Linked DNA regions of Notamacropus eugenii. The protein of the gene in region 2 interacts with the protein of the main gene of each other region in a pairwise test. Links are inferred from orthologs where the notes say so. Each region holds a gene or a part of one and is shown on either strand. Other genes may lie near its edges.

What was found.
Region 1: the proteins of BANP (region 2) and CAMK2D interact in binary tests that used the Homo sapiens proteins (3 or more experiments, as listed by UniProt). The two-hybrid records come from large-scale screens. The link is inferred for Notamacropus eugenii from reciprocal best matches to the Homo sapiens genes BANP and CAMK2D.
Region 3: the proteins of BANP (region 2) and SH3RF2 interact in binary tests that used the Homo sapiens proteins (3 or more experiments, as listed by UniProt). The two-hybrid records come from large-scale screens. The link is inferred for Notamacropus eugenii from reciprocal best matches to the Homo sapiens genes BANP and SH3RF2.
Region 4: the proteins of BANP (region 2) and RAB3IP interact in binary tests that used the Homo sapiens proteins (3 or more experiments, as listed by UniProt). The two-hybrid records come from large-scale screens. The link is inferred for Notamacropus eugenii from reciprocal best matches to the Homo sapiens genes BANP and RAB3IP.

The regions. Positions count from the first base shown.
Region 1 is NC_092878.1:115,955,686-115,962,973, forward strand, and holds the start of CAMK2D (calcium/calmodulin-dependent protein kinase type II subunit delta), read left to right. Parts: upstream 1-4,286; 5' UTR 4,287-4,307; coding exon 4,308-4,555; intron 4,556-5,979; coding exon 5,980-6,063; intron 6,064-7,288. UniProt on the Homo sapiens protein: Calcium/calmodulin-dependent protein kinase involved in the regulation of Ca(2+) homeostatis and excitation-contraction coupling (ECC) in heart by targeting ion channels, transporters and accessory proteins involved in Ca(2+) influx into the myocyte, Ca(2+) release from the sarcoplasmic reticulum (SR), SR Ca(2+) uptake and Na(+) and K(+) channel transport.
Region 2 is NC_092872.1:703,794,719-703,802,207, forward strand, and holds the start of BANP (protein BANP), read left to right. Parts: upstream 1-4,472; 5' UTR 4,473-4,699; intron 4,700-7,489. UniProt on the Homo sapiens protein: Controls V(D)J recombination during T-cell development by repressing T-cell receptor (TCR) beta enhancer function. Binds to scaffold/matrix attachment region beta (S/MARbeta), an ATC-rich DNA sequence located upstream of the TCR beta enhancer.
Region 3 is NC_092872.1:374,989,770-374,997,232, forward strand, and holds the start of SH3RF2 (E3 ubiquitin-protein ligase SH3RF2), read left to right. Parts: upstream 1-4,452; 5' UTR 4,453-4,544; intron 4,545-6,004; 5' UTR 6,005-6,150; coding exon 6,151-6,531; intron 6,532-7,463. UniProt on the Homo sapiens protein: Has E3 ubiquitin-protein ligase activity. Acts as an anti-apoptotic regulator of the JNK pathway by ubiquitinating and promoting the degradation of SH3RF1, a scaffold protein that is required for pro-apoptotic JNK activation.
Region 4 is NC_092874.1:247,281,440-247,288,946, reverse strand, and holds the start of RAB3IP (rab-3A-interacting protein), read right to left. Parts: upstream 3,007-7,507; 5' UTR 2,880-3,006; intron 1-2,879. UniProt on the Homo sapiens protein: Guanine nucleotide exchange factor (GEF) which may activate RAB8A and RAB8B. Promotes the exchange of GDP to GTP, converting inactive GDP-bound Rab proteins into their active GTP-bound form.

The DNA.
Region 1 (7,288 bases), on a different chromosome or scaffold from region 2:
GTCTTCAAAATAATTCCATAGAGAGAATCAAAAGTAACCCAGAAAAAGGAGAATTCAAACCTTGGTATAGAAATCTATCAAATACAGTGTCTAGTGTGAGGGCCACATTCCCAGGGAACCCACTAATTCTGGAGCTCACAAGTCTATCCCTATTGTATCGTACTATAACCTTTCCTCAAATATTGCCCTAACCCTCATCCTCCACTCCAACCCTCTACTCCCAAATCTAGATCACTTGATCATCACTTTTTCCATTTTATAAATCTGATAATACTAATCTTTACTGTATCTTTGTCCTGGTTTAAAGAAGCCAAGAATCACTGGGCAACTTAGACTCCATTTCAATTAAATTCTTGATCTCACCAATTAAGATCCTGACCAGAGTGCTTACTGTACCAAGAAGATTAAACAGCCAAGGAAACATTCCATCTTTTGTTTTGACAATTCAGGTAGGCCTAAAATAATTGTGAGTAAGTGCATGATATAGAAGTTAGAAGATCAGCCTTGGAGTTAGGAAGGCCTAGATGAAATCCCAACTCTTCTACATCTGTGACGATGGGCAAACCACTTATCCTCTCAGCATCCCCAGACAACTAGGTGTCAAAGAAGGGTGCTGGATCTGGAGTCAGGAAGACTAGAGTTCAAATTCTAGCCTTAGACACTTACTGACTGTGTGACCTTGGGCAAGCCACTTAATCTCTGTCTGCCCATTTCCTCAAATGTAAAATGACAATTATTAGATCCCCTACCTCCCAGGGTTGTTGAGAGGATGAAATAAAATAATATTTGTAAAGCATTTAGCACAGGGCTTGGCAAATAGTAGGCTCTTAAAAAATGTTTACTCTCTTTCTCTCCTTCCCAGGCAATTTTCTAAGGCTGTAAGTTAGAGATGGGCTGTGGACCAGCATCAGAGAAGAGTGTTTCCTGTCACACTGATGAAGTCAAGTTTAAAAAAAAAAGTGTGATGATTCCACATCATTAGACTTCTAAACTGAAGTGAGATGTCACCTCTGTGACATTTTCCTTTATCTCATTTTATGTGATTTTTCTTTTTTTTTTTTTGCATTTCATCTTCCATTTTTAATTGAAGTAGGACTACGAACTGCTTTGATTATTTACTGTAGTTTATATGTCTCCAGAAGTTATTTGCAATATTTGTTTAGTGGACTGAATCTTTTTTTTTTAATTAAACTAGAACAAAGAACTCCCCTAGTAGTATTACTTGGATGTTTTATGGGACCTTGAATGCCATGCCAATGGAACATAAGTTCTCAAACACGAAAAAGTTCCATGTGGTGCCCTAGTGAAAGAAATGGTACAAAAGACATTATCAAGGACATGTATGATGGGCAAAGGAAACCTACCACTCATGGAACAAGTGATATAACACATGCACAGACTAAGTATTACATTTTAATACACAGACGAGTAAAGGAGACAGAGAAAGATCTTTAGCAAGGGGGATAGATAACCCATGAATGATTCATGGAAGAATATAGACAGTAACACAGGATGAGACAGCAGGGATAGGCTGCAATTTGTACCATTGAAGGGGAGTACCTTCAATAATGAGGTCAAAGATTCATTTAAATATCAGAATTAAGCAATCAGCAAACACTAATCAAGGGCCTTTTATATGCATGGAATGGTGCTGAAACCTAAGGATAAAAAGACAAAAATGAAACATCCCAAAATACGGATTACGGGATAGGATGAATTTGCCTAGATCAGGAGTGGGGAACCTTCAGTCTCCGGCCACATGTGGCCCTTTAGGTCCTCAAGTGCAGTCCTTGGATTGAATCCAAACTTCTCAGGACAAATCCCCTTAATAAAAGGATTTGTTATGTAAAACTTGGACTTAGTCAGAAGGCCACATCCAAGGACCTAGAGGGTCACACATGGCTTCAAGGCCAAAGGTTCCTCACCCCTGGCTTAGACTGACGTGATATGGACATTGTTTATGCTTTCCTACTCTCCTGGTATGGCATAATTAAAACTTGTTTGTCTTTTATAGTGCAATACAAACCTCATAGTGTTAAAATTGCTGAAATTTAAGGAGTTGAGAAAAATGATGTCATTGTGTAGGTTTCATAAATTGTATACTTTTTAAAAATTACATTTCTTGATTGTTATAAGGCCTTACAAACATTCCTCTTAATTATTGCTTTCAAACTTTTTTGTTTTTAACTAATGTTTCATTAAGTGATATAGGCTCTTTTCTTAACTAAAATATTTAAAATATTTTACTTGAATTAGTTTGTATGACTGGCTGATTTCATTTCACATCCTAAATATTGACTTAATTCCCTTCATCTTCTTTACTTTTAATCATGTTTTCATTTCTTAGCATTACATTTTAATGCAGTGACTTTACATTTGATTTTTTCAGCATGGAATGTACAGCACAAACTATTTTATGGGTATGGGGATTTGTTTGAAGTGGGAGTCTTTATATTTTGAAAAATGAATGGCATTTGGTGTACTGAGTTGGAACACCAAATTGTTAGGCAAACCAATTCAAACACTGTTTATTCAGTAGTGCCAGTTATTAGAAAGGCACGGTGCTCATTACTGGGAATACAGAAACGAAACAGTCACTGCTCTCAAGAACCTTACAGCATTGCAGTGGAGATCCACCATGTGCAGAAATAAATGTAATACAAAGTTGAGTGTGATGGGGGCAAGGAAGCCAGCTGGACAGTAGTCTAAGAAAGACGAAGATGTTAAAAACATGGTATGAAGAAGACTATTTTCTCTTGCATTTTGTTTTGTTTTGGTTTTTCTCATGGTTTCTCCCATTCATTTTAATTCTTCTATGTAACTTAACTAATGGGAAAATGTGTTTAATAAGAATGTAAATGTAGAACCCATATAAGATTGCAAGCCATCTTGGGAGGGAGGAAGAGAAATTTAAGACTTATGGAAGTGATCATTGAAAACTGAAAACAAATAAATTAATTAAAAAAACACTATAAAGTAGAAGCAGGGTGGCATCTGAGTTTTGTCTTAGTCAATCAATTCATCAGCAAGCATTTATGAAGCACCACTTGGTTTGGGTTAGGCACCTTTGCTAAGGATCTCTCCTGTTCAAAGGAACAGGAGTATTGGAATGAGTAGTGAACCAGAAGAGATTGCCTTCTAGGTATGGATGATCGCTTTACAAATGGGAAGAGATGGGGAAGAGTTTAGGTCATCCAGCTTAGCTTGAACAATGTCTGAAAGGGAATCACATAAAATAAGGCTGAAAAGATAAACTGTAATCAGACTATGAAGGTGTATAAATGTTGTAATAATTAAAGTTGTACCCTTCAAGAAGTCCCTGAAGATTTTGGAACATGACATAATCAAACATGTTTCAGTCATGAGGATGATAACAGTAGCATTTTTATAACACTTTAAGGTTTGCAAAATGTATTATTCCAACTGTTGTGATATCATTGTGATACAGGAGAGCAATGGATTGGGATTTTCTTGTTTAGACAGCTAAGTTTCTGTGGGTAAAACATTTCACCTCTTCTGGCCTCAGTCTGCAAAAGATCTCTTTACAGCTATAACATTTTATGATTGAGAAGTCCACAGTTACGTTCACAGTATGGAGTTACGGTGGGAGGTGGTTGTGGTTGACAATTTTTCCTGAATCTGGGCTGAAGTAACAAAAGGGACTCGTTTACAAAATGACCACTAACCTTTTGTTTTTTTTTTCTCATTCCCTTTGAATTTGCAATTGCCATACTTATTATGGAGTTAAAAGAACTAGAAAGGGAAACCCAGAAGTCATTTCGTTCAGTTTGTCATGCTATCCACTGGACTTAAATTGCAGCTACTGTGCTAATGATTGTTTTGCATAAATTAAATAGCTCATATATAGGCATCAACGTCTTCATTTGCATGTAGACTAAGCCAGAATGTGGCAATGCCCCATCGCACGTATTGGTATCCATGCATCTCAACTATTCATTTGTGTAATACACGTAAAGGCTGCTATCTCTCCGGACTCTTGAGTACACAAGCACACATAAGCGCCCTACCTTTTTTTTTTCTCCTTTACAAATCGAAACAGGCTGGACAAGTTCATGTGATGCAAATGACGTCAGCCTCCATTGGGTCCCGTGATAGACAGACAACCTTCCCTACTCTACCCCACCCCTCCCCTCTGCCACAAAAACAGACTGATCTCGCGAGAAACCTGCGCTCCCAGCGCCTAGACCTTCCCGGGAGGACAGGGAGAGAAAGGGAAAGGTGCGGCTGAGCGCGGGGTGGCGCGTGAAGTCTTTGTTCACACCTCCGTTTGCAACCCGGGGCCTTTGATGCACGCTCCATTCCCAGGCTTCGCTGTGGGAAGCAGTGGAGGAGGTGCAGGCGTGGTGTCCGCACCTGCACCTTTAAGAGCGGCCGGGGGAGCCTGGAAACGGGGGTCCCCTGGGCTAGCTGAAGAGGGAGAACCCCTTCCTGGCTGGGGCGTGGGAGCCAGCCCGGCTCCGCATCCCGGCCGCTTCTGCATCCGGCCTTGGGCTGGCTCCGAGCTGGAAGCCGGGATGCCAAGGCTCCCCACCGGGTGGGCACCCAAGCACTAGGGTACACAGAGGAGCCGGGTCGTTGGCCCCTGCCCCCGGGGAGATCCCGCCGGGACATGGCTCCTGCTATAGTCCGACTCTGAGGGCGCACGGGAAATCGTGCGGAGCAGCGCGGGGGAGGGGGGCTCGTACCGCTCTGCGCCCCCGGGGAGCTTGGTGCAGGGGGGCTGTGCAGGGCCTCCCCGCGCGGCCGGCGATTCATTCCACCCCCGCCTGGGAGGGTTAAAGGGCTAGCTGGCCGGTTTGGCCAGTTGGCTTTGCCTGGCCGGCCGCTCCCGGGGTGTGGAGACCCTTTCCCTTACTACAAGGCGTATCTGCCTGTCTGTGGGTCTGTCTCTTCAGACCTGTTTGCAGAGACCCTGTTCCTGCGTACCCCTCCTCCTCCTCCTCCCCAGACCATTTCAAACTGTGTGTGTGATCCCGTCTTTTCTAATCTTTTTGCACTCTCTGCCTGGGTATACCCCTCCTTCCCAGCGCGCGCGCGCGCGCACACACACACATACACACACATTGCGTGCTGAGAGGGTTGTGTCGCTAGAGGGAGGTGTGGGACAGAGAAAAGGGGGGCATAGAAGAGGGGGTGGCCCCGCAGTAGCTTGAGGAGGGGCTGGGGGACAGCAGAGACGCTGAGGCTGAACTGTGCTCGCCCTGCTACTGCCCACCCCGGGTGCCCAGCGCGCTCGGTGCCGTGCCTCCTCTCCATTCCCAGAGAGCTGCATAGGTACCCCAGCTGGCCGTCGGCTGTCACCGGCGGGGCGGGGAAGGGGAGGGGAAGCCGGCCAGAGGAGCCGAGCTTCCCATTGCTCTGGCGCTCCTTCGCGCACACCCACCCACCCACCCACCCACTGGAGTGGAGAGACTGAGGCTGCTGACAGCTGCAACTGGACTGGAGTTGTCTCCGTCGGGCTTCTCTTCCTTCCCCTGCCCCCTCCCCACTCCACTCCACCCCCTCTCCACCCTTCCACTCCCTCCCCTCCGCCTTTACTCCTTGTCCCCAGTTCATATCGTTTCGCAACTGCTCGCCTCCTGCCCCGTGGCTGGCTGAGTTTTTTCTCTCTCCACCCCCCACCCCCAATTCCTGGCACCTTTTCTATAATACTTTCCCCCCTCCTCCAATTGGGGAGTGGGGGTGGCAGAGAGGGAGGGTGGAGCGTCCAGAGCCGGAGAAGAAAAAGAAGGAAGCGGGAGCAGAAGGATTGTACGATTGTGGAGAGGGGACCCTACGGCACTCTTTCTTTCCCATTGCACCCTTCCTACCTTCCCTCCCCCCCAAGTCCAGATCCAGCCACTTTTTTGGACGAGAAAAGTGAAGGAAGACGGCTCGGGGGTGATAGCGACACAGGGGCCGGTCCCAGGCAAGCAGCAGCACCTCCCGTCCCGTCTCATCCTCCTCCCTCTTCGACAGGAGCCAGCTCGGACCTATGATGGCCTCAACTACAACCTGCACCAGGTTCACCGACGAGTATCAGCTTTTCGAGGAGCTTGGAAAGTAAGCGTCCTTGCCTGGCGTCTGCGGGTCCCCTTTCCTGCAGAGGGCGAGTCGCGTTACCCCCGACCCAGCAGTCCTTTACCGTTAGGGGGTCGTGGGAGTTTAGAAAAGGGGAGGGGGGAGGGGGAAAAGGCTAGCTTGACAGTTGGGCAAAAGGTACTGATCCTTAGGGTGAGGGCGGGGGAGTAGAAAGGGAAGACCACCAGGCTGTGTCCAAGGCTGATAATCCCACCCACCCTCCTTCCCCACTCCCATTTTGCAAGAGAGCCTTCGTGAATTTATGATCCTTGCAGTTGGAGCTGTCATCCTCTGGAGTGTGTATATATGCTTGTGAAAGGCAGGAAATGAGAACCCATGTAAAATGCAACATAGATCATGTTTTCTGTAAATAGAGATGCCTCCAGGGTTTACCGGCGTGTCTGCTCAGTGATACACGTACGGATGAGAACCTCACTGACACAGACGGTGCCATATTTATTGATGCCGAAAGTTCAAGTTGGCGTTCAGTCTGTTTTGTATCCAGTAGTTCTGTCAAAGAAGACAGCAGCCCAGTGTGACATATATATCTATATATCAAGCACCTACATCTTCAGCTACTGTAGGGAGGGGAAAAACTTTCTGGAATTTTTGTCACACCATTCTTCCCAGGATATAGACAGTCTCCCCTAAGAGGATTAATTTAAATGTGCATGGAGGAAAAAACCTCTCTGGAAAGGGAAGAGTCCTGTTTTGTGTATGTGTGTGTGTTAAAGATTATATATAGATACACACATACACATAGTGACAAAAATACTTGCCAGTTTTAAAGAACAGGGAGAAAGATATAAACAAGGAAACTCATTATAAAGAAATCTAACCTAGAGGCTCAGCCACAGTGTTACAGCATCACCCCCAAATGAAATCTGTTCTCATTCATATCTACAGCTTGATCTATTACTTGGAGAAGGGGTGTGTGCATATGTCTGTTGGTGGCTGATGAAGGCAAATAAAAGGAAATGTAAATTTCATTGTGTAAGTGTATTTATTCTGTATGATACTCTTACACTGAGTGGTACTGCATGCACACACACATCTATATACACACGTACATACACATAAAAGGTCAGAAGAGGCAGTTTAATTAAAAGCCTTTTTTTTAACCAAGGCATAAAGAAATCATCGTGCCAGAATTCATTAACTCACACAAATATGCTCAATATTTATATTTCTCTGAGAACAATTATCA
Region 2 (7,489 bases):
ACTTTCATGTGAATTCTAACCAGCCTGACTGATGACTGTCTTTCTGGGATTACAATTTCAGGAAAGCCCACCCAGGCTGCCTGAATGGGGACTCAGCTAGCTAGGTAACTCAGCTCCTCCTCTTCTGTCTGTCTCCCCTTCCCCTTCCTTCTCCTCTCCAAAGGAAGATATATTTGTTTTACTGGCTTGATTCCTTTATTTTTCCTCTCCTCTCCCCTCCTCTCTCCTCTCCTCTTCTCTCCTTTCCTTTCCCAAAACCTTAAACCTACTGCACTCTGAAGCTCATCCATTGGACAACACTAGGCACCTGTCTAAGGGCTCTCCTCTGGACCCTCCTGGGTCAGAGTGTTGCTGTTTCCCTCCCAGTCTGATATCTTCATTTTTCTTTGCCTCATTAAAGGGGCCAACCCCTGGCTACCTCTTAAACAGACTTATTCAATGAATGGGCATTACCTCACCCTAGGTGAGTACCTGAATAGACCTTGGATTCAGATGATTCTGGAGGAGAAGTGAAGCTGATGACCTTGCACAGCCCTCCCTCACTCAAAACAAAGTTAAGTGCAGTCATGTCACCATTTCTCTAATGGCATGGTCTTCTTTGGCAACAAAGGACAAACACAACAACCTTGTTCCTGGATGGGATCAGTCCAATCTTCTCTCCTATGATCCCATTCAACATACAGTAATCCCTTGTCACCACTCTGCTAAGCTGTTTTCCCCCATTGTAATATAAGCTTCTGTATTTGTATCCTCAGCCGTTAGTACAGTACTTAGCACATAATAAGCACTTAGTCAAATTTTAAAAAATTCATTCATTTAGTTATTAATCAGTGCTAACATTAATTGAAAATTTCCCATGGAGACCAGACAGAGCCTTATGACCAATTATCCCTGAAAAGGCTTCAGTAAGCAAAAATCTGACAGTTTTGGAGAGTTTAGTTGAATTGGCATTGTATATAACTGCATTGAAAATTTATAGGATGATAGGATTCAGGAACTTAGAAATAATCTAATCAACCAACAGCATTTATTAGGTACCTACTGTGTGGAAGAATTGTGTTAGATACTGGGGATACAAGGAGAGCAGGGGAACAAACAGTCCCTGCCTTCCAGTAGATCTGGAAAGGTAAGTGAGAATCTCGTGGTAAGGACCTTAAATGCCACAGGTTAGATTTGTTTCTAGAGGTCAGAGGGAGCTATTGAAGTTTCTTGAATAGGCTAGTGAGACGGTCAGTTGGGACTTTTGTTGTCAGTCATTTTGATCATGTCTTACTCTTCATGACCCTATTTGGGGTTTTCTTGGCAAAAATACTGGAGAGATTTTTGTCATCTCCTTCTGGGTAACTGAAAGGATGGTGGTAATCTAGCTAGAAAGAAGGAGGTTTGGAAAAGGGGTGGATTTGGGAGGGAAAATAATGAATTGTGTTGTAGACATATTGAGTTTGAGATGCTTATAGGATACCCAACTAGAAATATCTCATAGGCAATTTGTAATGTATAGTTAGAGCAAATATTTCTTTTTTATAGTTAGAGAAAAGGAAGACCAGAGAAAGAAACTAATAAATCCAAGTCACCCAGGAAATAGCTTAATTAAATCCAGTAAATATTCATTAAATGCCTACAATGCATAAGGCATTGTGCTACGTGGTTGGACATTTTAAAAAAGAAAAAAAACCTGACATTCCCTCTTCTAATAGATCTTACAATCTAATGAGCGTAGGAAAGCTTTAGCACTCTCTCCAAAGGCATAGTAAATATATTGATTGAGAAAAAGTTTCTCTTGATTGTAATTTCCAAGATGAAATTTTAGGGTCCCTGGTTCCTCAAGGGACTTGCAGGGCTTGAGTGGTAATGATGCATAGGATGGTTGGAGTAGGGGATAAGTCAGCAGTTAATTAAGGTGCCAAGTCTGTATGCTAGGAGTCATTAAGACTAGAAAGATCGAATGCCATGACATAAATCAGGGGGTGAGGGGTGGGCATCTAGATTGTCAACAGATGTTAAATTACTTCTTATCTTTATTATAATCTTAGTAAACATCAAATGGAATGGACATTTAAATTGCACTAAGATTTTTGAGATACCTTTTAGAACAGAAAAAGAAGATTGTACCTGAAACTACAGGATACAGCTGACTTTTCTTTTAAAGTCTATAATAAGATCAACCTGTAGCTTTTAAGGCTTGTCCTGCTTGCTTGGTTTACCTTCTTTTCTTTCCACTATTAAAATTAAAAAAAATTTTTTTTCCTTTCTCTCCTCCTTTCTATCCATATCTCCATCTTCATCCTTTCATCCCCATACCCCCACTGGAATAAAATAATGAATCCCTTGTAACAATATGCCTAGTCCAGTGGGAAAAATGCCCACATTGGCTAGTGTCTGAAAATGTACGGCCCATTCCTCATCTTGTGACTCAGCAGAAATTAGAAGAAAAAATCCATCTCCTCTACAATTCCATTGACCAAGCATTTACCTAGGAAATGCTTATTATGCTCAAAGCTTTGTGCTTGTTGCTAGGACTGCAAAGACAAAAATCTCTGTCATCAGTTTGGAAAGAGCATTAACACCTAGTGGGAATCAGTGAAGTCTTTTATAGAAAGGGGCACTTGGGCTGGAGAGTAAAGACAAGCTCATTATTTCAACTGTGAAATTTCTTTTTTTTCATTTTATTTTTTAAATTTTATTTATTTTTAATGCTCTACAATCACTACCATAAAACTTAGATTTTTCCCCCTACTTACTCCCCATTATCCCCCTCCCTCCCCAAGACAGCATACAATTCTATATAGGATCTACACATACATTCGTATTAAATACATTTTCATTATAGTCATGCTGTGTAGAAGAACTAAAATAAATGGGAGAAATCATCTAACAAACCAAAACATAATACATACACACACACACACACACACACACACACACACACACACACAAATGATCTGCTACTTTCTGCAATTGAATTCCATAGTTCTTTCTCTGAACGTGGAAGGTATTTTGCCTTAGAAGACCACTGGGATTTTTTTTTTTTTAATGTCCTTGCATTGCTATGAAGATCCAAGTCTACCAGAAAAAACTCTCGCACACTGTGGTCGTTGCTGTGCACAAAGTTCTCCTGGTTCTGCTCCTTTCGCTCAGCATCAGATCATATTGAAATTTCTCCCAATTGACCTATGTTGAAGGGCAATACAAGACTTGTACACTGACAGTTCTTCAAACACTTGGAGAAGATGGCAGAGTGTGTTGGTTGGCATAGAGCAGATGAAATAGCATGAAATCTGTTAAATATCAATCATTTAACACTTATCCAGGGCTTGCACAGCTCTCCCTCACTCAGATCCAAGTCAACTGGAAGTCATATCATCATCTTGATAACATGGTCCTCTTTGAGAACAAAGCACCTATGTACCAGGCACTGTGCTAAATGTCGGAGACACAAAAATAGGCAAAAGACATACCCTGTCCACAAGAAGGTTACAATCTAATGAGAGAGATGACATCCAAATTTATATACAAAACTAGTGGTACCTACACTGTAAAACAAGCCAGTAGAGGACTGTTTACTAGGGTCTCTTAAAAAGGTATAAAATTAAAACCTTAAAACCTTTTCAGAAAAGTAAAGTGGTTACAGAGAAGAATTTTGAGGGGAAAAAAGTGGTTTTGTAAAAAGTATGCCTTTGAAAAGTATAGAGTGTACATGTGTGTTTTTGTGGCCAAGATTGTAATAAACCTTTAAAAAAAAATGGAGGTCATCCCATCTATATAATGTTGGAATGACTTCTAAAATCCCTGTGTCTTAGTTTCCTCCTCTGTTAATTTAGGAGGTTGGTCCTTGATTTCTCTGGCCCCAAATGCTGACATCCCTGACTGGTTATTAATTCCAAAGAGGTGCAGCCTTCCAGACAAATTCACCAATTAGAGAGATCTCCATCAAGGGACCCAGGTCATCTGATCATCTGCCTGCCTGCTTCCAGACAAGGCCTCCAAAGGTCTAAATACAGGGTAAAGGAAGGACAGAGGGAAATACTGAAAATCACTTTGGAGGCATCTAATAACTAAATTAACTTAACTACAAGTCCCAGCATTCCATGCAGTGGGAAAACGGGCCAGGATGAGCAGACTACAAATCCCAGCATGCTCTCTAACATAATGACACAGATGGACTACAAGTCCCAGGATGCACCTTATGCCGAGAGCCATGCATCCTGGGATTTGTAGTATTGCCCTGGTGGTTCTTTCGGGGTGGGGGTTGGGAGTGGGAAACGACAGCAGTAAACAAAGCCAAAAGCCAATAAATCAAATTATTTCATCAGTCCATTTAAATGACACTCTCCGCCCTTTTCTACAGTCGGCTGAAGAAGCTGAGAGCACACGCTTGCGTGGGTCCTGGAAAATCAAAACGGGACGAGCCTGGGAAGAGGTGCGCATGCGCTCTGACTGAAGTAGTGACTAAAGGGAGCGGGATCAGGTTAAGGTGAAAGCGCGCGCACGAAGATAAGGGACGAGGCCGGCGCTCGCGCGTCGTTTCCTATTCCCTCTCCTGGCGGGTGGGGGTAACGCGTCTGCGCAGGTTTGGGAGGACGATCGCCGCGGGGGAAGGAATCGCGGCGCCTGCGCATTGCAGCAGCTCCTCTCGCGAGGACGGACGCCATTATCGCATCTCCCCGACAAACACCACGAGAATTCCGCAGCCCACACGGTAATTGCAGCTCCCGCAGCCGGTCGCGTCTCCACCTCCCCCCCCTTCCCGCGGGGCGAGAGCGAGAGCGAGATCTCCCCCTCCCCCGCCTCTCCCCTGCTCTCCTCTCCGGGCCTGGCCGGGCCCAGCTCCAGCTCCCACCGCCCGGCCCGGCGTCCGCCTCAGCCCCGGTGCGTCTGGGTCCGGGCCTCGCTGCGCCCCCCCGGACCGGAGCCGCCGCCGCCGCCGCCGGGAGCGGGAGCGTAGGCCCGGCCAGGCCCGCCAGGCCCTGCTGCCAACGGCGGCCTCGCTCGGGCCGCTCGCTTCCTGGGGATGGCGAATACCGGGGCGGGGGTGGGGGAGGCGGCGGCGGCGGCCGCTTCCTGGGCGGTCAGCCCAGGATTCGGGCCCGGCGGCGGCCCCAGGGACCGGGAGTCCCGCCCAGCCCCCTCCTCGACAGACGAGGAAACTGAGACCCGGGCAGGGAGGCGGCCTCCCCTTTGGGCTCAAGGGATCGAGACCCTTTTGGGGGAGCCTCCGCCTCTTTTACAGATGAGGAAACTGAGGCCCGAAGGGGAGGAGGCTTCCCTAGCATGGCTTGTGAAGTGAAAAAGGGCCCTTAGAAATGAGCTGGTCCAGTACCCCTACTTTACAGGCGGGGAAACTGAGGCCTCGAGAGGGGAAAGTGAAGTGACCCGAAGCCGTGCAGCTAGGAAACCCTAGGCCGTGCCTGAGATCGGGAGTCATTTGGGAAACGGAATATTCCCCGCCTCCTCCCCCCTGAAATGACTGGAGAAGATTGTTTAGTGAATTATTCATGACCCTCTCCCTACCTCCCCCCCTTCTTTCCCAAACATACAGATAACTGCGTTTCTCTTCCAGCTCACCTGATGCTCTGTGTATTGTAAACAGTCCACGTGTCTGTGACCCACTTTTGTACATTTTCAAAGCCCTCAGTTTCTTCAGTTGGGCTTTGCAAACAAAACCTTTATGCTTAAAAAAAAAAAAAAGAAAATTAGCTGTTTGCCTTTGCTTTTTTTCCCCCCACCACTGACTTTGCAGAGTTTGTATTAGAAAAGGAATTTGGATAAATTATAAAAGCATCGGGATTTATATAATTAAATACCTGAAAGTCAAATTACTATCGATTGATTCTGTGATTATTGAGCTTCTCTACTATATTTATACTGTTGGTCAGTATTCTGTCAGATAATACTTTTTTTTGTGAGTTTCGGTTTCTAAGGCAGTTCAAATTTAAATAATTTTGATGAGATTGGGGAATATTTAATGTTATTTGAACAGAGCTGTAAAGGCACTTTCCAGTTTCTGAACTATTATTCTACAGCATATTTGGAGAAGGGATAACTCACTTTAATACTGTGGTGCCTAACAAGACTGATTGTAATTAGACAGTGTGTTAAAAGGTGTGAATATCAGATGGCTAGGTTTTTCCTTTCATGCTCAGTTTTCACATTTTAGATTGGTGTATTGTAAAGTCTTAGCTCAGTAGTCTCATTGGAGGATTACATTCTATGGTTGTATGAAGAGTATACTAGAAGTTATGTTGGTGGAATTTTTTAGAATTGGAACAATATTAAATCTAAAGTATAAAGAAACTTGTGAAACTTTGTTCCCTAAATAAGATACATGGATCTTTGAGTTACTGATTGTTTATGTTTAGTCTGTTTCAGAAAAGAAATCAAGATGTAACCTACTTTGAATTTTGGAAAGACAATCATAGAATTTTAGAAATGGAAGGATCTGTAGAGAGCCTCAAAACAGTTCCTTCAGTGATTTTAATAGCTGACTTTTTGCCTCACCTCATTATTTTTGGGTATACTGATTTGGCTCTTTTGAATCTTAGCCTTGATTTTTGCTTTGGTCAGGTTTAAATTTTTTTTTTCACTTTTGGTAAACTGGGGCAAAATTCAGACAAATATACACCCACAACATGATTATTCTTGAGATGTATTTTAATACTCATACTTTAAGTATAATTTTTTTAGTTTGGTACTCCTTCCATAAATGTGGATTGCAGTTTCTCTCCATGTTCGTTTTCAGTCGTTGCTAAGGAATTAATCAATGCTACCAGCTTGTTGAGGTCTCTGGGTTTTGGCTTGCAGTGTAACAGCATCTTAACTGGGTCCATCCTTAGAACCTTTGCATTCTGGTAGCACTTGCCAGAGCTGACCCTTTATGGGGGTGGAGGAGTGTTGAGAACCCCTGGCCACATCAAACTTTGATTATGTCTCAGCTGGTCCCTCATGGATGTGTTCTTAACATAAGAACTTTTAGTTTGTGAAGAGGAGGGGAACATTTTCACCTGGGAGGGAAAAAAAAATTCCTGAAAGAGAGGGGAAGGTGGTGGGTAGGTGGAGGGAGTGGGCATTTGTTAAGTGCTTACCACATGTTGGACACTTTATAAAAATCATCTCATTTGATAATTATGCTGCCAAGGTGTGAGATGTGAGGGGAAGTACTGCCCAGTGAAAAGAGCTTTGACTGGAGGAATCCAGAGGTGGGACTCTGGCAGTCTAATTTGTCTTGAGTGACTTGGAATGGTAACTTAGTCTTTAATTTTCAGTACCCTTCTCATCTGAAAACGTGTGGGGCTTAGACTAGGCCTCTAAGGATAGTTGTAGTTCCTAAATTCTGATTATTTGTTTACAATAATAGAAATATTTGTGGGATTGTGGTGGGTTAGGTTTGCACTCCATGGCTGTGAAAATTTTTTTCTTCTAGGTGAGAAGTCATCTGAATGGCTTTGGCCCAATTATGACTCATGGCTGAACTTTGACTCTGCCAAACCAG
Region 3 (7,463 bases), about 330 Mb from region 2:
TGATCTTCTTAAGTTCAAATCTGGCCTCACACATTAGCTGTATGACCCTGGGCAAGTCACTTAACCCTGTTTGCTTCAGATTCCTCTTCTGTAAAATGAGCAGGAGAAGGAAATGGCAAACCACTGGAGCATCTCTGCCAAGAAAACCCCCAAAAAGGAGTCACAGAAAGTCAGACACAACTGAAAAAAAAATGATGAAATAAAAAAAGAATTAAGAAACCTCTTGATGAGGATGAAAGAGATGAGTGTAAAAACTGACTTGATATCAAAAAAACTAAGATCTTCACAACTGGTTTCACTACTTCCTGACAAATAGAGGTAGAAGAAATGGAAGCAGAGTCAGATTTTTTATTCATATATATATATATATATATGTATATATATATGTATGTATGTATGTATTCAGATAGATAGATAGATAGATAGATAGATAGATAGGTAGATAGACAGGTAGATAGATATAGATGACAGCATACTAAAAAGCAGAGACATTACCTTATGTTGTTGACAAAGGTCAGTAGTGTTAAGGCTATGGTTTTTCCAGTAGCACTGTATGGCAGTGAGAGTTGGATTGTAAGGAAAGTTGAATGATGCAAAATTTATGCTTTCCAATTATAGTTCTGGAGAAGACTTTTGAGAGTCTTTTAGACATCAAGGACATCAAATCGGTCAATACTTAAAGAAATTAATTGAGACAATTCACTGGAAGTTCAAATGTTGAAGTTTAAATACTTTGGCCATGTAATGAGAAGACAGGATCCATTGCAAAAGACCCTGATGGTGGGAAAGCTTGAAGATAGAAGGAAAAGGGGACAGCAAAGGATGAGATGGATAGATAGTGTCATAGAAGCAACAAACATGAACCCTGACAGACTTCGAAAAACAGTTGAGAATAGAATGGCCTGGCATGCTATATAGTCCATGGGATCATGAAGAGTGATGAAAATAACCAATGTTTATTGATTGATTGACTACATGACTTGAGGCCCCTTCTAAGCTCTGAGGTTCTTTGATTCTAAGATTCTGTCATTGTATGATCATCATGGACTTAAGTGATGATAGCTGAGTACCTATTGGCTGCTCAGAGCTGTGGGGAGGGAAGTTGAAGTATTAGAAAGCAACTATCAATGAAAGACCAATCAAGGAATGAACATAAAGTTTGGTCTGATTTAAAAAAAATTTGCTAAAATTCAGATTGGACTATAACTTTTCAGGAACTTGACTGTTACATAAAGTGAGGTATATTTGCAAATATAAACAGCAGGTACAAGTGTTTTATATATATGTATATATGTATATATACATATACATATATATTTAAGTATACTACATATAGCCAACGATATCTTTACAAACACAACTGCTGACAACAGGCTACATGTATAGTGGAGGGAAAAAAGAAGTAGGAGCCTAGAGTCTGGAGAAGTTCACTTTGTGGGGTTTTATTTGTTGGTTTGTTTATATTCTTTAGATATTCATCTGAACTGCTGCCAAATAAGCATTTAAGAAGACTGGGGAAATCCTGATTTAATACTATCCTCCTGCCTCTGAAGATAAAGGAGCAGCTACCAACAGAACTCCCTCCCAAGGTTTCAGTCAGGATTAGTCATCCCCAAAGTATGCCAGATGGTCACCTATATGGTATATTATAGGGACCGTTGGGAAGACCCACTGCTTCTCCTGAATGATGTTCACTGCTCTGGCAGTGATGTCTGCAGTTCCACCAATGGCAATTAATTCCTTTGAGTACAGTATTGCTTTCACCAGGTTTCTTCTTTTAAAATGCAAAGAATTCCAGCACTGGCAATATTAAGTTCCTTATCAATAAGGGGTATTAATATTGCTAATGATGATAATTAATAAGCATCTTATGAATTATTTTATCTTTTGAGTTCTTCAGTGAAAGCATAAAAACATAATCTTGTACAGGAAAAGTACTGCTAAAAATGACAAGGATGGAACAGAGGGAGATGAGGAAGAAGAGAAGCGAGAAGTCTCACATTTTGCATATAAATAGTATAATACAAAGGTTTGCATATGTATGTGAAAATGTGTATCTATACATATGTTTCTGCTTAGCACAGTGTCTGGTATACTGTTGTTGTAATTCAGTTGGGTCGGACTCTTTGTGACCCCATTTGAGGTTTTCTTGGCAAAGATACTGGAGTGGTTTGCCATTTCCTTCTTCAGCTCCCCACTTGCCCAGGGTCACACAGCTAGTAAGTGTCTGAGGTCACATTTAAACTTGAGGAGTCTTCATGACTTCAGGGCCAGCACTCTACCCACTCAGCCACTCAGCCTGGCACAAAGTAGCTACTTAATAAATGTTTACTGACTATATGTCCTGTCTCTGACTAATATGACCCTGGATAAGTCACTTGAATAACCAGGTCACTTTGTAAGACCATAAACTATAAAGAAGGTGTTGATCAACAACAGTAGAGCAAATTCTTCACCCAAAAGAGGAAGTTCTCCTGCTCCAATAAAAAAGATAAATGCTTGCATATGAAAAGTAATGTGGCACAGGAGATAGAGCCTTGGAGCCAGGAAGACATGGCAAGTCTTGACTGTGGTACATTCTAGCTCTGTGATTCAGGGACAAATCATTTAACCTGTCAATGCCTTCAGACAACTCTCTAAGACTATAAGAGGGAGTTTTCACACAGGGACCTTCCTTGCCCTAATGAAATCACTGGTCTGGTCCTACCTCCTCCCCCAAGAATGAGTTACATTTTCCATTAAAACAGAAAACAATGTTCACATGCATCTTTCAAAAAATTTGTTTGGATAAGGAAGCTGCCAGATAGATCGGGAGTTGGGGAGAAGGAACAGGTTATAAATTTATGGAGTAAGGAACAGAGTAGAAGGGAGGTAAAAGCCAGTAACTTCACGTGGCTTTCCAAAGGACAACAAGCCAAGGCCAGCAATTATTTGGAAAAGGTGATAAGGGCAAAGCAGGAGCTTAAAAAGGAGATATATGTATAAAAACGCTATAGGAATCTATAAAATTGAACAGAAAAATATCTCTCAAAATTGGTTAGCTATGAAGTAAAGTGGTTAAGACAGCTAGGTGTGTGTGTTCGTTCTTCATTGCCGAAGAAGACCATGCCATCAGAGAAACGATGACATGACTTGCACTTGACTTTGTTTTGAGTGAGGGAGGGCTGTGCAGGTCACCAACCTCACTTCTCCTCCAGAGCCATCTGAATCAAGTGACCAGATGTTCATCAGGATTACTGGAAATGACCCAAGATGAGGCAGTGACACTGCCTTGAGGCAGTGAGTTAAGTGACTTTTCCAAGGTCACACAGTTAGTGAGTGTCAAGTGTGAGAGGTGAGATTTGAACTCAGGTCCTCCTGATTCCTGCACTGGTTCTCTATCCACTGCACCCCCAGGTAGCACTGCGGATAAAGCATTGGGCTTAGAATCAGGAAACTTTGTTTTCATGAGCTCAAATTCAGCCTCAGACACTTAATAGCGGTGTGATCCTATGCAAGTCACTTAACCTTGTTTGCCTCTATTTCCTCATCTGTAAAATGAGCTGGAGAAGGAAATGCAACCACTGTAGTGTCTTTGCCCAGAAAATCCCCAAATAGGATTACAGAGAGTTGGACACAACTAAACAACAACAAAAAGTGGTTAACCAAAAAAAAAAAAAAAAAAAAAGTTATGCTCAGAAATATTCAGGTTCTACTCCATATCTACAATACATTTTCTTTTGGGTGGATATTTTTCAGAACAACATTGGGCAAAGTTTGAAAAACTAAAATAACCACTCCACCCTAGTCCATTGTCTATTCCCATGTATTTATCTTAATGTACTTTTTAAACAATGGAAGAATTATAATGTTATATTGTGAGAGCGTGTAATATGGGAAAAGCACTGAGCTGGAAGTAAAGACAATTTGGATCTAGTTCCAGTTGTCATTAACTACGGACCGTGAACTAGTCACTTCACCTCTCTTGGGTCTTTCATCTGGATATGAAAGTATCAGGCAAGCTGACCTGGAAGATCTCTTCCAGCTGGCGCAATTATATGATGGGTCAAATCCTGGACGTGCATTTATGTTATTACAAATAGGGATTAGGGGAGGGTGGGGGTCATTCTGAGGAAACCTTCAGGAGGGTTCAAGGTTTCAAATGAAGGGAATGATGTTGACTTTGATCATGACAGAGACATGTTTCAACTTCTTAGACTAGCGAGTGGAAAAGGTGAACGTGCAAACCATACACGTGCTTTGTGCCGGGGGTTCGCTGTTATTGACGCCCTCCTAATCTTGTTCCCCAATCTCGCCTTTTCCCAGAAATAAGCAGGGCGGCAAAAAAACAATGGGCTGCGCCGCAGGGAGTGTGCTTCCTCCTCCCGAAACCTGCCGAGCGTCTGCAGCCCGGCGGCGAAAGCGTTAACAGAGCTGGATGAGTAAGCCGAGCCATCCAAATGAGTAACATACATAGTTGTTAAAGTTTTCAAGGCGGCTGCAGCTCGGAGAGAAGACACGAGACACTGGGGCTGAGCTTCTTCGGCAAAGGTCAGCGGCGTGAGGTTAGTGCAGGCTCCGGCTGGAGCTGACTGCGTACGGGAGCGAGCCAGAGCCTGGCATCTTTGAGGGAAGCAGGGGAGCGGGGGAGCAGTGGGAGTGCCCAGAGCCAACTCTGCATTTAAGGTCTCTCTGGCTGCTAGGGGGCTGACCGCCACCCTTTCTTCGCCTCCTTCCCAAGAATTACTCAGTAGGCACCAGCGCTGAAGCCTGGCTTAGTCTGCGTGACAAGCGTCGGACTTCTCAGAGAGACTTAGCCCTAGCGAGTTGGGGAGGGCCATTACGCCCATCAGGAGCAAGGACGGGATTTCTGAGGCTTGGGATTTTGACTTTCAAGACACACACACACACACACACACACACACACACACACACACACTCACACACGAAATCACACCTGTGAACTCTGGACTCGGCTTGCTTTTTGCAAGTTGTGGCCAACAGTCCAGAATTCCTTTCTGTTTCAGTTAAAACAAGTGTTGTCAAAGTAGCTAAACAGGCTCAGTTACTTCCCGTTGTGGGAGGAATATTGCCTTCTGCGGTTGTCTTAGATAATCGTGCTAAGTAAGCAGAGGGAGGCTTAAAGTGACCAGTTTGCAGTGTGGGGTAAAACTGTAATTGAAGCAGGTTGCTAGGTGAAAGGTTTCCCATGCATTGCTAAGAAATCTCATTCAAGAAACGTATTTAACGTATTTAAAAGATGCTAACCTTACAACTGCATACTATATTGCTTTGTAATTAACTTTTGGGGGGCGGGGGAGACGATCCGAAGGGCAGAATCGTGAGGGACTCCGGATGTGGAAACAGCCTTTACTGGCAATTCCTCAGTAATTTAGTTTTACAAGAGGCCTTTCCTGATCCCTCAGTTAATAACGCACTTCTCTCCAAATTATTTTGTACTTATTTGCATGCTTCCCCTACCCTACCCCAATAGAATGCCATGTGTCCATGGGCACAAAGTGAGTTTGTATCCAAGGCAGGACTGCCTGACTAAGATTGGCCCACTATCTGCTAAAGCAAGCTGCCTCTTATTATCAAACACATGCCTAGAAAAATGAGGAAAGAAGGTCATAGATCTATATCCTCCAAGAGGTTTTGATTCTGCTGTGAGTTAAAAGTTTTCAGAACTGAGACGGAGGCAGGTTTGTACTTCCCAACCCACCTCTAGCTTCCATCTACAGGTAGGAATTAGCATAGACACTTCAATATGAATTATTCACCTTGGATTTTGGCTTTCCCTCTAAAACTCCGGTTACTTGTCACCCAACTGAAAGCCCCCCTCAGATTCTTGCTGCAGGCTTGAGAGGCAATGCTGTACCTGCTATTACTAAATCACGACTCACTTGAAACTTAGATGCCGGGAACAAAGTACACGCTTGCAAATTGCCTTATGAGGCACTGCTTCACATTGTAGGTGGGATACATTTCAAAGCAGTCACATTTTTTGTCCTCTCTTTTTCTTCAGACATCGAGGTTCTCTGAAATCCAGGACCCAGCTGGTGTTCTCCTGAGGACTGATCTGACCTGCTCCCCCATCCCCCACTCTTGTCTCAGGTCACCTTACCATGTGGACTCTGTCCATTCAGGCCAGGATTGGAGTTTTAAAATAAGATGGATGATTTGGCGTTACTTGATCTTCTGGAGTGTCCCGTGTGTTTTGAAAAGCTCGATGTCACAGCCAAAGTCCTCCCCTGCCAGCACACCTTTTGTAAACCATGTCTACAGAGGATATTCAAAGCACGCAAGGAACTGAGGTGCCCAGAATGCAGAACCCTTGTCTTCTGTGGTATTGAGGAGCTCCCAGCCAACTTGCTCTTGGTGCGTCTCCTGGATGGCGTCCGATCGGGTCAGAGCATGGTGAGAATGGGCTCCATTCGAAGACCTGGCATACTGACCTCTCAGGACCCAAGCAGGAAAACCAGGACAGATCCCAGAGGTTCGCAGCCCAGTCCATACCGACTGACTCCCAATGCCCGAATCCACATGGATGGGGTAAGAAAGTATCTGTTGATATACTGTCACGTCGAAGACTGGATTGTGAAATACAAATGGCTAAGGAGTACTTGATTTTAGTTGAGTCTTCACTTCTCATAAAATTTCTGGCTTCAGTGAATTTACTTACTGTTTATTATTTTTGTGATGGACCCAAGTTCAAAACCAGCCTCAGATACTTGCTAGCTGTGGAACCTTGGACAAGTCACTTAACTTTTGTCTGTCTTTGTTTCCTCATCTGTAAAATAGGGATGACAATAGTATCTAACGCCCAGAGTTGTTGCAAAAGTAAAATGAGATAATATTTGTAAAGTATTTTACAAATCTTGCATCTCTATATAAATGCTAGCTATTATTATCCTTTTTGCTTAGCTGTGCAACTTGGTGAGATCCCAAGTATCTCCAAAACTCTACAAACAGTCTAGGAACTCTTCTTATACCTGCCCACTTCTAGAGTATTTTTATAGATTTCTGGTTTTTCCAGGTTCTTCTGCTCCAGGAAGTAATAGAGATGGATTTTTTTTAAACAATATTTTTAAAACACTTTTCACTGTTGCTCTTAAGGAACAAAACCAATAAGTGGGGAAACATGATTAAAAAAAGAAGGGGACATTTTTAAACTGCTTTGTCTTCGAGGTTCAGGAAAGTTTCCAGATTCAGTTTTAGTTAGATTTTCGCCCCAACCTATCCCTTTATTCCAATCATAATATGCAATTATGACAATGCACATTCATAATTGCTAAAAATTATCAAGAAATTAAAATCTCAAGGATGAGGCAGGAAAAATATGTGAAAATGGATTTATTGATCTACCTACCCCCACCATGCTATGCCTTGACATCTGTAAAATTGGGGTAATAATAACTCCTGCTTCACAGAGTTTAGTGGGGATGAAATGAGTTAACAGAAAGTTTGTAAACTTTAAAACACTA
Region 4 (7,507 bases), on a different chromosome or scaffold from region 2:
AGGACAGACCCAAAGTATATTCACTTTGCCATTTTAAAAATGTGTGTGAGGGTTGCAGGGAAAAGGAAGAACAGTTTAGATGTATAAAGAAAACAGGGCTTATCCTCAAAAGACCTGGTGTGAGTTATAGTTCTCTTTCTTTAACCACCTGTCATGACCTTGAGCATCTATCTACTATCTCTGAGGCTCACTTTTTTTCTACTATAAAATAAGAGGTTTGAACTAGACTATCTCCAAAGTCTCTTCCAGCTCTAAATCTTAAAAACCTATGATCAATTCAGCATTGAAACCACATCTATCAATAGTGATTCATAAAAAAGTAGAGGCAGCATATGAATTTAGGACACTGATTCACAAATTATTGCTATAATCTAATAAGAAATTCACAGATTTCTAAAAAGCAGAGTTATCTGTTCAAATTAAGTTTATTCTAATAAAATGTGAAGAGTCATTTGGCACTAAAATGTGAATTATTTATTGATCACATAAGAGCTATGAGAAACTTCTTTTACCTTAGTGGTAAAATTCAGGTAATAAAACATACATACGGATATACACCAGAAAGTTTTTTTCCAAAAAAGAAACATGTCAATATCTCATTTTTTGGTCACATAATCAAAAGCAAGAACAAAAAGGAGTTATTATTTTTCTTCTAGAGGAACTCAAATACTCAAGTAACAATTACCACAATGATTAATATAAATTCTACTAAGCATTTAGCATCACACCATACTACTAAACCATATTTCTGAGATGTATCAACAAATGCTGTCCAAGCAACACTGACTTACACAGTACAATAACAAATGTTATCACAAGAAGACTTCATGAAACTGGTAATATTATTTAATAGCATCAATTGTTTATTTTGCCTGATCTTCAAACCCAGGCTATTTTCTCCTCGAATTTGTAAATAAACCATCATCTAAAGTAACTAAAATTAAACAAACTTTAATTAAAACTAAATGTAATGCAAATTTAAAATAAAAAAGAGCAACAAAATAAAAAGGAAAAACAAAAGCTGTTCTTTGAGAAAACAAGCATTTAGCCACCCAGGAGTTTGGGACATCCCATTATCTCCCTAAAAATCATGTCACCATTCTGCATTAAGTGACAATCAGAAAAGGATTCAGTCAATACAGACAGCCTAGATGTAAATGACAACTGCTAAATTTCCTCCAAATCCTTCCTCCCAGGAACTGAAAGATCCCCATTAACCTTCAGATACATCACACTCCACGTAAAGTGAAAACTTGTAAGCCATTGTACAAATTTCCCACTTAAAAATCACACCAAGTCAGCTCAGGGGTGAAATACCAGTGCTAAAGTTTATGCCCGTGGTTCTCCCCTTTACCCATCTTCCACCACTCAGAAAAGCTTTATTTTTCCCCCCTGTTCTTATTCCCACCAGGAATCTGACTATTGAAACCTCAGGAGAGGCACCTCTAAGCCTTAGTGACTTCATCTTGCCAAAAAACAAAGAACACAAAACACAACAACTCTCAAAAACAAGTCACAAATAAAGTTCCTGGACTGATAAACTGAAATCCTTATGAAAAACATGGAGACCCTATCAAGGTTATTTATTTATGTGCATAAGCTAATAATTTCTTTTATCCAAAAAGGTGCACTTTAACACAAACCAGGCAGTACCGAGTAGTGGGGTAGAAAGCTTGTCTATCTACAGAAAGATTTCATGCTTTAAGGGAAGGAAATGTTTTCGAGTGTGTAACTTGCTCTTTGTTTTCAAAAGTGAATTCTTAATAGACTTTATAAGAAATCTATAATATGTGCTGTGCATATTTTTTTATTCTCTGGGTACTTATCGCTTTTGGTCTTCATGGAGAGTTGCTCAAAACTCCAAGGAAAAATTAAACTCAGAAAAAGAGGTTCCTATTCATAAAAGATTCCTATCTTTTTTTTAAAAAGCCAGTAAACCTGAGCTCAAGCCTCGGACCTAGAGTGACCGATTCAAGACTGCCTCGGACACAGATCGCCAACCTCTCGAGAAGCTAATCAGTTCTCTGAATTGATAGGTATAAGTAAGCAGTGTCAGAGGGAGTTGTCCGTCTGTCCATCCACGCAAGATCGTAGCCCCAGAGCTGAAGGGTGCACAAGGGGGTCCTAACCCTTCCCTGTCATTTCCCAGGGCAGGACGCAGGGAGCTGAGTTCAAGGCTTCGCTCGGGGGATCCGGACAAGTCACTTTCGCCGATCGATGGCTCCGGGGAACTCGCTAAGATCCCAGTTTCCTATAACTCCCAGGTACAGTCGGGGTGGGGGAGGTTCCATTCCAATGAAATCACAGCCCCCCCCCCCAAAATCAGCCGCTTGACGCTCCCCCAGCACCCCAGAGAAACAGGTGCTGCTACCACCCTCGCGGGCCACGGAGGTGATCGATCACTCATGCGGACTGATTGGTTTGGAAGGCGCCGAGCACCGCGCCCGGTATACAGCAGGGTCTAACTCAGTGCTCGTCGCCCGAGTGGGACGCCCCAAGTTTCCGGGGGGCAGGTCGGGATCCCCCCTTTTTTCGGAGACGCCCTCGAACTTCATGGTGGGCGGCCCTGGGCTGGCGGGGGGTTAATCAGTAACCGCGGCCGCCTGCGGAGCGAGGCCGGGGCCCGTGGGAGGCGCTCCCCGAGCCCGCCCGGCGCCGCAGGGCTCCTGGGGGAAGCGGCGGGGCGAGCGCCCGGGCTCCGTGGCCCGACGCGGGGAAGGCCCGTGGGCTCCAAGGTCCGGCTCCGCGCGCCGACCCCTCCGCGGGCGCCTCCTCACCGCAGCCGGCCGCGCTCCGAGGGGCGGGCGGAGGCGGAGGGGGCGGTGCTGCGGCTCGCGCTCCCCGCTCCCTCCCCCGTCCTCCCTGAAGCTGACACTCACCTGACCGAAACCCCCGCGGAGAGGCTCCCCCCCGCCACGAGCCCGCCCGCCGGGGCGCAGGGACCACGGGAGGAAGCCGGATCCGCAGCTGCCCCGGCCGACGCCGCTCCGCTTCTGGCCCAGCTCGGCGCACTGCGCTGGGGGGAGCAGTCGGAGGAGCCGGACACTGCGCCTGCGCCGCGGGGACCGGAGCCGGCGAGAGGGACCCAACTCCCCACCCCGCCCCACCCCGCCCGCACCTGACTCCCCTTTCCCCCTTAAAGTGGAGAGGCAGGACGGCCGGGTCGGTCCGAAGGGCCGGCGCGCCGCGGCGCCCCCTAGCGCCCAGAGGCGTCCCCTGCGCGCGCCCCGGGCACTGCAGGTTCATTGGGCCGCAGGTGTCTGGGGCCGGGGTGGTTTCCCCGGGAACAGTCCCGAGTCGGCGCAGAGCTGCCTTGACTCGGGGCCAGACTCGTCAATGTCACCAGCGTGTTCGAGTCCCAAAAAGCCCCCGAAGGCGCTGGGCAGCTGGAGGACCGGGGCTGCTGGAAAGGGACCTGCCGCGTGGGCTTCTCGGAGTCGGAGGGGACACGCGTGGAAGGGGAAAGTCGATTCATTCCTTCCCACCCCCATCCCTGCCTTTCCAGGAACTGCTTGGAGGAAACTGTGTTGTTTTTAAAAGCGGCTCTTGCCTTGAAGGCTGACTCCCTTAAACTACTACAAGGTGACTGTTCCGAGACTTCCAAATGAGAGAAAAAAAAAATGGAAATTGCGAGAGGGAAAAAAGAAAATAAAAGTAGCCATTAAAAAAAATTCATATATGGGGGTGTGAGTCCCCGAAGGCTCCATCTCAGGTTCACAGATCTAGTAGAAGAGACTCCAGAGGTCACCGAGCTGGCCAAGCTCACATTTAGTTTGCGTGACTAGTATCAATCAATCAGTCAACATTTATTAAGTTCCTACTATGTGCCAGGCACCGTATTAAGAGCAAAGCATACACAGTAATGTGCACAGAGTCATCGATCTAGTGGAAGAAGGGAAGAAAACAAGTATTTATTTGTTATTGTTCTATCAGGTTTTCTTGGCAAAAATACTTGAGTGATTTGCCATTTCCTTCTCCAGATCATTTTACAGATGAGGAAACTGAGGCACATTTGGGTTAAGTGACTTGCCCAGAGTCACACAGCTACTAAGTTTCTAAAGGCAGATTTGAATTCCGGAAGACTCCAAGCCCAGCGCTATATTCAGTGCATGACTACAATGTATCAAGTGCATGACTACAATGTATCAAGTGCTGTACAGATAACTCACTTGATTCTCACAGCAACCTTACTTAGGAGGTAAGTGCTCTTATTATCTCATTTTACAATTAAGGAAATTGATATAGACAAAGGTTAAGTGGCTTGCCCAGGGTCACAGAGCTAATAAGTATCTGAGACCCAATTTGAACACGAGTTTTCTTGACTCCAGGTCCAGTGCTCTATCCGCTGTGCCACCAACCGCCTCCACCAGGAGTTTCTGAGTCAGTCAAGAATGAAGTCAACAAACAGAAGAAAAAGAAAAGAAAGTGATATGATAACTTTATTATATATTTAAAAGGAGTAACAAGTTGTACATAATAGATTTGCAGTTTCATGTACAATCACCTTTTTCCCCCATTCTACTGTGTTATGGAAATGTTTGTTTTATTTAAGTTCAGAATAAAATAAATAGTTTTTTAAAAAGACATACTATGTGCCAGACACTATGCCAAGCACCAGGAGTACACCAGGAAAAAAAATCAATCCCTGTTTAGTCAGAGGCCAGCTAGTCCAACCTCCACATTGTACATTCCATGAGGGATGTGAAGGTTCTGGGCTCAAATTAATTTATGTGACTCATGCATTTATTAAGGATATTATATTGATATAAGATCATACACAGCCAGAAGGGACCTCAGAAGCCAACAAATCCAACCATTTCATCTGACAAGAGGCTTTGGCTCTAGGCTCACATATATCTAATGTGACTCACATGTGTATATATATGCATGACACACTACCTTGAAATGTGATGCAATTCAATTCAAACAACACTTAATAAGCAAACAATAAACTAACAATCAAAAAACATTTATTAAGTACCTACTGTGTGCCAGGTACTGTTCTGAGTACTGAAGATGCAAAGACCAAAATAAATCATTGTGATAGAATTCTCACCCATGAATGTTATATATATTACTGAAAGCATGGTGGGTGTACAGGAAATGGTAAACTTTCCTGTGCAGAGAGTTCTGTCTCCAGGCCACTTAGAACCACCTACCATCAGCATGGCCCATTAGAATGCTATGTGGCAGTGATCCCTCCCCTGCTCTTGGATTGCCAGCAATCTGGTGGTGAGAAACCATGATTCATTTTGTTGTTATTCAAGAACACTTATTAAGTGCCTATTAGGAACAAAGCAATTGATGCCTCTGATCTAGCTGGGACAATGCCCCAAACTAACCAGATGACATTTGTTTTGAACAGGATGACCAGTTAGTGGGGGTTTTGTGACAGAGGGGATTGTTGGTTAAGTGTAAGTTAGAATAACTTGCCTCTGAGTTCCCTTCCACCTCTGAATCTGTAAAAGTTGAAATTTAATACTAACAAATACAGCATCCTGCATTTGAGATCAAAATACAAAATATGGAGGAGGGAGAAAAAAAAAATAAAAACCAAGCCTAAGAAATAGGAAAAAAATACACCAAGGTTTTAGTGGTCTGCAAACTCAGTAAGAGCTAGCAATGTGATGTGCCTGACAAAAGAAGTAATTAGGGTTGAGGCTATGCTAAAAGTCCTCACCCTTTAAGAGAGAAGAGAAAAAGAGGGAGAGGGAAAGAGAAAAAGAGGGAGAGAGAGAGAGAGAGAGTGTGTGTGTGTATGTTTTGGAGTATGGGTGAGGGAGCAGAGCAGAGTTTTAACCAGCTACATATACCATAGAAAATTTTGAGGACCTAGCAATGTTTAGCCAGAAGACTTAAGAGGTACAGAATGATTGACAATATTTGAAGGTCATCTAATAAAAAAAGAAGAAGATTTGGAGGTTTGGGGACCCAGAGGGCAGAGCTAAGACCAGTAAGTAGAAGTTAAAAAAAAAAAAAGACAGATTTCAACCCCATGTAAGGAAAACTGTCCTACATATTAGAATTGACCCAAAGTAGAATAGTCATCCTTTGACATGAGTAACTCACCCATAAATAGAGGTGATTAAGCAGAGACTCAGTGGGTTTGTCTTAGATCAACTCTTAAGTCAGAGATCCTTTGGTTCTGTGAGACTCTGATTAGTTAAACTATGGTTGCACTTTGTAGTTTCCATACACAAACATACTAAAATTCTTAACCCCATGATTGGGGGTGGGGGTGGGAGGGTGGAATGGAACCTGAGGTTTCATTGGTGTGAGGATCTCCTGAAAAGGAAATTCCTTCTACCAAAGCAGACTGACCCTTGTTCTGCAACTTAGTCTTAGGTTGCCTGGGGAGCTGAGAGGGTAGTTCATTCCACTTTTGGACACTGTAATTAGTAAAAGTATAATTTTCCATAACAAAGGCTTAAATAAAGTTGAGTGATTTGCCCAAGTTGAGACTTGAACTCAAATCAGCAACAATACAATATTTTCTTTACTATTCTATGCCAATCTACTGGCCTTAAGATGAAGAAGGGGAAAAAAATGACCTAAGAATCAACAAAACAAGTTGCAAATTGAGTCAGGGGTGGAAAGTATGCTTCTTGAAAGCAGGGATTATTGAACTCTTATCTCTTAGCACAGAACTTGGCTCATAAGGTGATAAATTCTTATTGAACTGAGTTGAATTAGAAATTAGAATTAGAAAATAACATTTCTTTCTCTGTTGTGTTCTTTCTGTTAATTCTGATTGATTTTTTAAAGTTTCTTATAGCTGTTTTGTTCTTTCCTTGTTATAATGTGGCAACAATGATTTTTTGGAAGAGTCTGCAAACTGATATTTTAGTACTAGAAAGAAGGAATACAAATAGAGAAAAGAAGAAAAGCTATTCCCCAAATAGATAAGTGGGCAGCAAGGTGGCATTGTGGATAGAGAGCTGAACCTAGAGTCTGGAAGACTCATTTTCCTGAGTTCAAATCTGATCTCAGATACTTACTAGCTGTATGACCCTGGGCAAGTCACTTGATCCAATGTGCATCAGTTTCCTCATATGCAAAATGAACTGAAGAAGGAAATGGCAAACCACTCCAGTATGTCTGCTAAGAAAAACTCAAATGGGGTCACAAAGAGTTGGATGTGACTGAAATAATTGAACAACAAAATAAATGATCAAAGGATATGAGTAAGCAGTTTTCAAAAGAAGAAATGCAAACTATGCACAATCAGATAAAAATGTTTCCAATCACTGATAGTAAGAGGTATGAAAATTAAAACAAACTGCCTTTGTACCTCACACCCATTAGATGGGCAAAAATGATGAAAAAAAATGGTGGTCATTGGAGTGACTGTGGGAGGGATTCACTTCTGGTGGACATACAAAGTGGACTGAATGATTCTGGAAAGCAATTTGGAACAGTACTCCCAAAGTGACTAAATTAAATAACCCCAATCAATTGATAGCATGAGTAGGCATATACCCTAAAGAGTTCAAAGACTCAAGGAAAT